Neodiprion lecontei: one gene and its partner. The protein of the gene in region 1 purifies or fractionates together with the protein of each later gene. This does not show direct contact. Links are inferred from orthologs where the notes say so. Each region holds a gene or a part of one and is shown in the gene's direction. Other genes may lie near its edges.

Region 1 (3,928 bases):
TGTTTCATATTATTTCTGAAATACTGAATACTATTAAATTAGCACGATACACTTTTACAATTAGAGGTTGAGTAGTATATGTTTTCTGTAGTAAAATTGGTGAAAAAACATTTGCCACTATTATTGAACACCTATATGTGAAAATTTCCAAGAAATTTACGAGACGAATGATTCAAATTTTGTTTTCAGCACTTTTAAATGATTCTAACACTTTCCAGATGTTTTAGAGCTCCGATCAAGATATTGAAGTTAAAAGTGAATGTCGATACAAAATTCCTAGAGAATCAATTGACAATTACACCGACAGATGCTGAGAACATTTCAAAAGTTTTGTTGCAAAAATTCAAGAAAGTTAGAAAAAGTTAGAAAAAGTTAGAAAAGGTACTGAACTCCTGAGAAATTACCTATTGTCCCGAAATCTTCGTGAAACTTCGTATGCCATTATCTGGAGCCTTTTTACAAAATGTTTATCAAAACTCTGTTGATGTTCGAATCGCGTAAAAGTCATCAAAGTATAATGAGAAATAGTCAGAATTTATGGAACTTGTTTAGCGCTTTTAAAATCTGCGAGAACTTCATCGGAAAACTCGAAAATATCAGTTGAAAATAATTCCGCGACGCATTACAATCTTCGATAAGAATCCCGGAAAGTTCCTTAATTAAAAAGTAAACCAAAGGGGATGAGGGAGTGAATTGCTATTCAATTTTACACGTCCAGAGTTCACTTCTCCTAGTGTAAATATTACGAAAAAATAGAAGTCTGACTGTTTTACGGCAAGATGCCTGTAGAATAGCCAAAATAATTGTTAGCTACCGCTGGCTACGGATGTAATCTTAAAATATTTAGATGTACCCATCATAGTGTAAGAAAAAGACTCAGTCGGTAAAGGAAGCATTTTTATATACTCTCGGAGCATGAATGATCCAATCTGATCTACAATCCCACAGAACCTGTAACAGAACTGACAGAACGTTCATTTCGTATTGCTCGACGTATATTGGTCACGAGCCTCGCGGGTGGGGGGTCGAACAGGCAGAGCCGCGGCCGACGAAAACCGAAACTCCGGGGGTGGCAAGCGAAGCAATATGGCGAGATGTGTCGTCGACGTAGGGACGGTGAGGTGTCTAAGTGAAAGAATGGTAAAGATGCAGAGAGAGTCGCGAAATGGGTTGATAATGATGTAGTGGATCGTCGAGAGTGCGGTGAACATTTAACAAGTGTAAATAGAATCAAATCCGTTCGTCCCGGTGTTCCGTGCCCTATAAAATAAAAAAAAAAAAAACGGTGCTGCTGAAACATGTCTTCTACGGATAAAATAAAGGTCGCCGTTCGGGTTCGCCCGTTCAATCGCCGAGGTTGGTAAAAAGATACAACAGAATTTGCAGCGACGTTCGTCCACAGATTTTGCAATTGCAGCGTCGGTAATCCGCGACGTTAAAGATCCATTAAAATCCACATTAACCTGCTGAATCAAATACTGGTTCGCTGTACAATCGGGCAGCGCGCGGCGGCGGCGGCGGCGACGGTTCTCCGCCAGCGCCGTAGATACTTTCCGAGAAGTATATCATTGATTTCGCATCCTAAACCGACGAAACTGGCATCGCCAGGAGATTGACAATTATTGTTTTCCACATAGCATAGCTGAGTTCTGAACTGAACATTTCCGTTCGATCTGTTGTGTGGAGCGAGAAATCCAGGCCTCGTAATTTCAACCTACAATATTTATTTTGCGCACACACAACTTGAACCTAACATTATCTATATCGGCGCTTCAAACTTCGTTCACTTGTGATTACAAATAACTGCAAACAGCCACAACCACATTCACTAATCGCTACCGCTTTCCCCTGTATCTTTATATCGGCCTCTGTACTTCAGGCAGAAGAGAAAAAACACCGATCTGACGCGTGGTGCTGGTTGAAAGCGTATTTTTTACGCACGCGAATCGCGTCGTAACGTTTCGATGAGTTATTATATTCATCCATGAGTCTACGGACGTCAGGCCTACTTTCTGTCACCCGCCTGGCTTTGTCCTTTTTTTTTGGTAATCTTCAACGAACATAGCTCTCGGTAGTAGGCAATTCTAGTCGATTTGTCTGTTTCATGCCGATCGGACTGCTCGAAACAATAGCGTAATGATTCGTGTTTTGAACAGTTCGAAATGCTTCAACAGTCCGGACAACTTCAGAGTGCTCTTCCAGCCCTCGAGCACAATGACAACGGTCATACTACAAAAATAATGATAAAAAACCGCCTTTAGAATAGACGTCTGCGAGCATTTCAATTCGAATTTATGATAGAAAGAGTTCAGCACAACGGAGCCATGTGCAACGTGAACAAATAAGCGAAAATAATTGAAAATCGCAATTGTATCAAACTTTTGAATTCTCAGTTATGTTAGGTAAACCATAAATTTGGTTCTGAATAAACCGAAATGAATCGTTTTCAATTCCTTAACTCTTACAAACTAATCTTAATGTTAAATATTCTAATTTCGGTTGTGTTTCGTTTGGTCAATGTCACAAACTTCAATTTACGAGAAGAGTATCACACCTCCAGGTCATGGATTCTGCTGAAACTTCTAAGGATGTTTTTCTGGCCTAAAAGATGTACTAATCTTCTTTTAAAATTTGGATCAGGTTTTTAAAAATTCACAGTTACTTCACTACGACTCTGACATAATATATTAGTTCGCACTTGATTTGTGGTGGAATACTATCGCTTTGAAGGTTCATGAAAGCGCAATGAAAATTAATATTTAAGACAACAACATATAACAAGTAAACTGCTGATATAATCGATTGTGACTAACGTGAAGAAGGGCCTATTAGACGAAAGTTCAAATCACAGGCTTCGTATTTTAGACCAAGGAAATGACCCTAGAAGTTTCAGCAGAATCAATCATCTAGAGGCTTTATCGAGAGCATTATACACTCCTTGTCAGCGTGTAAAATAAACATGAAATAGTCAAAAATGCGAATTTAACGATTCGCGGACTGTCTGAGGCCCCGTGGCTCGTCCGTCCGGCATAGATGGTGTATAATAAATACACCGCGACATCTGATTATCACTTCACCTGCCTTCCGAAGGCCACCGACCAAGCAACCGACGACACGTTGTTCCAGCCTTTACAATGAGTGATTCAATGTCGGCGCGGTAAACTGTTTACGTAAAAATAAATAAATTGCGCTAACCTGATGAATCGAAACTACCTGCCCTGCCTGTATAGCCGCTTTTGTATCCCCATATATACATACACACACACGGATACCCACATATCTACGTAACAACACAGTATATAAGCTCTGTACTCTGACCCTGTAACGCGATTTGTATATATCACAAGGTGTTTCAAAACAGATAACGTCAGATTCAAGTGCAGCAAGATTACTTTTTATTACAGTTATAGTATACAGTCTGAATTTATATGCAAGGGAAAAATGGTTGATCTTCTCAGTTTAAGAATTCAAAAAAGGTGGGCAGAAAATCGATTCTTTTTAATCACATTGTATACAGAGTCACAATAAAAATTTTCTTAATTGACCAAATTTGACGTTGGTTTTTGTCAAATTCGTGAAAATTAGATCACATAATCGACTGCATAATCTTCAGTTTTATCGAGTGATATTTTGTTATCTTGGGTAGCACCTGGTATCTGAGAAATTACAACTATAATTTTGGCGTTTATTTCCTTGATCATTCATGACTTTGAGAACCTGAAGTAGTTGTTCAGTGACTGATAATATTACCAGCGATAGATAAAGGTTATTTTGATATAAGACCTGAAGCGCAGGCTTTGCACCGAAATAAGGTTCTTTATCATCACGGCGGTTGATTTACGGAATACGTGCGTGGGTCCTGGTAAAAATCAACACAGCCTATTGGCCCAAAAGTAGTCCCGTCAAATCCGTAACGGGATTTACTTGT
Region 2 (3,928 bases), on another chromosome or scaffold:
TGAAATAACGATTAACAGGCGAAATCGCCGCGAAAATCCTCTCGAGGGCCGATCGTAAGTTAGTCGAAATAACGCCGACGTATCGGGGGTGGTTCGACTGACGATGGAACGGACCTTGCACTATACGTCGAGTGTTTCCCTTTCTTGTCCACTATTTTCCTCACCGTCGCCAGGAACCAGCTATACGTTCCTTTCGTTCAAAAACACGCTTCCTTACTCTCGCCTTGAGGATAAATTTATCGGAGTCGTAGAAATAAATCTTCCTCAGAACGTCGCCGACCGCTCCGCCCTTTCCATCCCCATTTTTTCACATGTCTACAAGGACATGCCCAACGCACAACCCGGCAGGACGGCTCCGAACTTATATATTTGTATTCACGCCGGATAACCCGCAGCCAAGTTATAAACGCGTTCATGATGTTGTTACGAGCACTAAAAACAAAAATAATAAAACTTTCTCTTCGTTTTCTATAACGGCAACATAATATTTCGACGTCGATGTCATTTTTCTTCATCGTCGTTTCGAACGCCAATCAACTACTTCGCGTTTACGATCGAGTCGTCAAAAAATAACGAACGAATCGAAGAAGCGTAAAATGCCGGATACTCGTGGCTGAATATCCGCGTTATCACCATTGAAAATCGTTCTCTCTCTATTCACCGCGCTTTTACTTGCATGAAATAAATAAATAAATGAATAAGATTTTCCACCGTTCTGCAGTCTTTACTCGAACGAAGTAGGGCGGAAGGTGAATGTTGCTCCAAGAATGGGGGAGAATTTGTGTAACTTGTTGTACCAGATTCGACCCTAGGCAGTGGAATTGACCAAGTTTTAATTGCGTGTCCTGCGAATTACGGGAGAGGGATTAAAAGGAGTCTATCTCTCGCACGTGTGGGTATCAGGAGGGCTGTGTTTCTACGGTTTTGTACAATTTATGGAAAATCCCTGAGTGTCGGGGCGAGGTTTTCACCCCTGGTAGATGGTTCCTCGCGGGATACAATTTCATCGCAGATTTTACTTCCAGACACCTGGTCGCTGAAATGTTTTCCCCCTTTCCTTGTACAAAGGCTGCGTGAATACGACGTGAAATTATTTGCCCAACCCTGAATGGCGATCGTTCAGCTGAAAAATTCTCAGGGAAAGCGACGAGATTCTTTGCATTGTTAATTGATCAGCGCTTAGCGCTCTTTGGTACTCTCAAAGTATCTGAAAAAGATTCTTCAATTATAAATTACAGCGGGAGTAAATCCCAGCTTATTTTCTATTTCGTTGATCCGTAATACGAGAACAGAAGCCTCCGGTGGATGAGACGAACAGACGTAGATGAGAACTTGCCAAATTATACTCAAACAGTCTGGAGAGTTCGGAATTCTTTCCACGAACACACGAAAAGTCAGAATACCAGTCGAGAATGACTCGAATGAAAAGGGCTCTGCGAAGATGAAGGTAAACCGAGGATGCGGAAGGTCCGAATCGTCGCTGACTCGTCGCAGCGAGTCCTGAAGACGCTCTTCCAGTGCGGTGGTTAAACAGTGTCGAATAGTGCGTTATCCGGTGATGTATCACGGAATATCGGTGGAGCATATAATCGATGACTGCGTTTCGGCGAGAATGACGGTTCCGTCGGGGGAAAACGTTCCACGGGTTGACATGGCTCTATTCGGTATGGTCTGGCTGCTTCGCGTTCGCTCGGAGATGCGCAGATGCGCCAAGTGCAGGCGTGAAGAGATTTTGGCAGCCCAGCAGGAGCACCAAACCAGCGTACAGGATTCGAGGTCCACTATCCACCAGCCGAACTCGGCTACTCACCAGGCTTCCGACACCCTCAACACTTCCGCCACCACCCTCTTCACCCTCGACACACCCGGAGCCTCTGGTCCTGCTGGCAGTTACTGCGAGGTGCACGGATATATCCCTCCGAAAGAAGGTATCGCCACTCTCGATTTCAGAAATCCTCCCGCGAGGAAAGTATCCCAGGTCGATCTCTGAAAGTAGACTAAAAACTAAGCGACGCCTACTTTTCTTTTCTTTTTTTTTTTTTTTTCTTTCACGTATGCCATTAAACGCCTTAAGGGGGTGAAACCACCCTTCAAAGCAAGGCACGCAAGGACGATTTGTTAGCTCGTTTTTTTATTTTTTTTTATTTTGTAATTGAGAAAATAACATTTTTCATTTCTCGTTGCGAGTTCTTGTGGGTGAAACAGCCTTTAAAGCGTTTAACGGTAAATACAAAAAATACGCTTAGCTTTTAGTCTACTATAACATATTTATTAAAAAAGAAATCAAATCGGTGAGATCGACCTGGGATACCTTCCTTGTCAGTCTGACCGTAAGTTTGTCATCTCGGGATGAGAAATTTAGCGAATTAAGCTTTTCAGTTGCAGTATTTTTTTCGATCACAAAGCATGTTTCACCTTGCCAATCCTCAGATCTGTAGCTGAAGTTAATGTTTCTTTCCAAGTCAGGGAAGGAAATGAGAAATTAAAGATTTCATCTCATATTTATTTCAAGTCGAATTGAGATGTGACAAGGGTGAAGTTTTTTCAAATTCTGTTAATGGCCACCCCAGTAAACAACACGGAACTTTCTCATTCCGCATTGTCTGTTCGTTGAATTTATGAAATCCCTCAGTTTGACTTGTAAATGTTAATCGATACGATATGCAAATTTTACGTTTTATACAGCCAAAATAAATTCAAATTAAATTTGAATAAATTATACCCGATGCGCAAAGAATGCGTGTCGAAATGAATTTAAATGTATTCAAAACAAAATGGATCTCTGTTATAGTCTGGTAACGTATATATACACAGCTCTTAAACTCGGAAGTGGTATTTTACACAGCTGCCTCGGAATTCAAGGGTGTACATGCGGGGTCGTACTTGAAAAATCCATGCATTTAAAGCGAACAAAATTATTCTCCATGTAGGAATAGATACACCCTTAAATTCATTTAGAATGTATGAATACCGAATCATCTGATACCTGTATGCCAATTCTACGTCGGAAATTTCGTCTTGTTTTGTATTTCGGGACGCCGTTAGGTGAACTCGTTCGCGAAGGTGACTCACGTACGTAAACAATTATGTAGCGTGCCCAGTTTCGCTACTCGAGTTTCAGTCTCGAATACCGAGCTGCGACGAACGGACGCGGAAGAATTTTTCCACTCATTAATAGTAATTGCAGTGATCTTTTGTCGAAGGGACTTATTGTTTCACAGTCTTACTGTGATTGTAATTAAATAAGATTGGTAGTGTGTGTCAAGTGTTCAGTGGCAATTGCAGTTATCCATCTGAAGTGAGAAAATTCTGCAGATCATTCCACCTCCGAGGTAATCAGTTCACGAGTAGATCGTAAACAATAAAATTTCAACTAAGTTACAAAACTGCGTTACGATAGTTTCGAGAGTATATTGAAAAGATTTTGTTATCGCTTTCTTCTCGTTGATCGTTATTACATGTATCGGCAATTTTGACGAATCAAGCTTGACTAAAGTCTCAAATTATCGCGAGTACTGGGCTTTAATAATGAATAAATATGCCATCAGGCACCAAGAACCGACGATTTGAGTTATATTCGATCAAACTTGATCCATCGAAATTACAGGTAAATATCACAACCGTGGCTGAATCGATGCGCTCCTCCAACTCATTTCTCGCTTGATAATTAATAGGCTCGAACTACGAAACGTGTTTATCGCAAACGTGACTAGAGGCAGGGCTGCGTGAGATGCAGCGTCGGCTTTGTTTTGGCGGATCGCATTGTCTACCTTGTAGCAACTAGGTTGCATATAACTTGCGTATGCGCTTGTCTATGATCTTCCTACCTATCGCAAAGGGAGGCTCTACCTGACACTGAACTGACACGAATAGAACTAGGCGACGATGTCTTCGTCACGTTGCTGCATCGGACGTTCAAATCTGAAGG

The links.
Region 2: the proteins of kinesin-like protein KIF13A (region 1) and disks large 1 tumor suppressor protein purify together in Drosophila melanogaster (affinity purification with western blotting; 3 studies listed by BioGRID). This does not show direct contact. The link is inferred for Neodiprion lecontei from reciprocal best matches to the Drosophila melanogaster genes Khc-73 and dlg1.

The regions. Positions count from the first base shown.
Region 1 is NC_060261.1:13,225,850-13,229,777, forward strand, and holds the start of kinesin-like protein KIF13A, read left to right. Parts: upstream 1-1,071; 5' UTR 1,072-1,298; coding exon 1,299-1,356; intron 1,357-3,928.
Region 2 is NC_060260.1:7,310,244-7,314,171, reverse strand, and holds the start of disks large 1 tumor suppressor protein, read left to right. Parts: upstream 1-1,597; 5' UTR 1,598-1,612; coding exon 1,613-1,928; intron 1,929-3,928. UniProt on the Drosophila melanogaster protein: During embryonic development, some isoforms are essential for proper neuronal differentiation and organization. Required for cell polarity; maintenance of apicobasal polarity.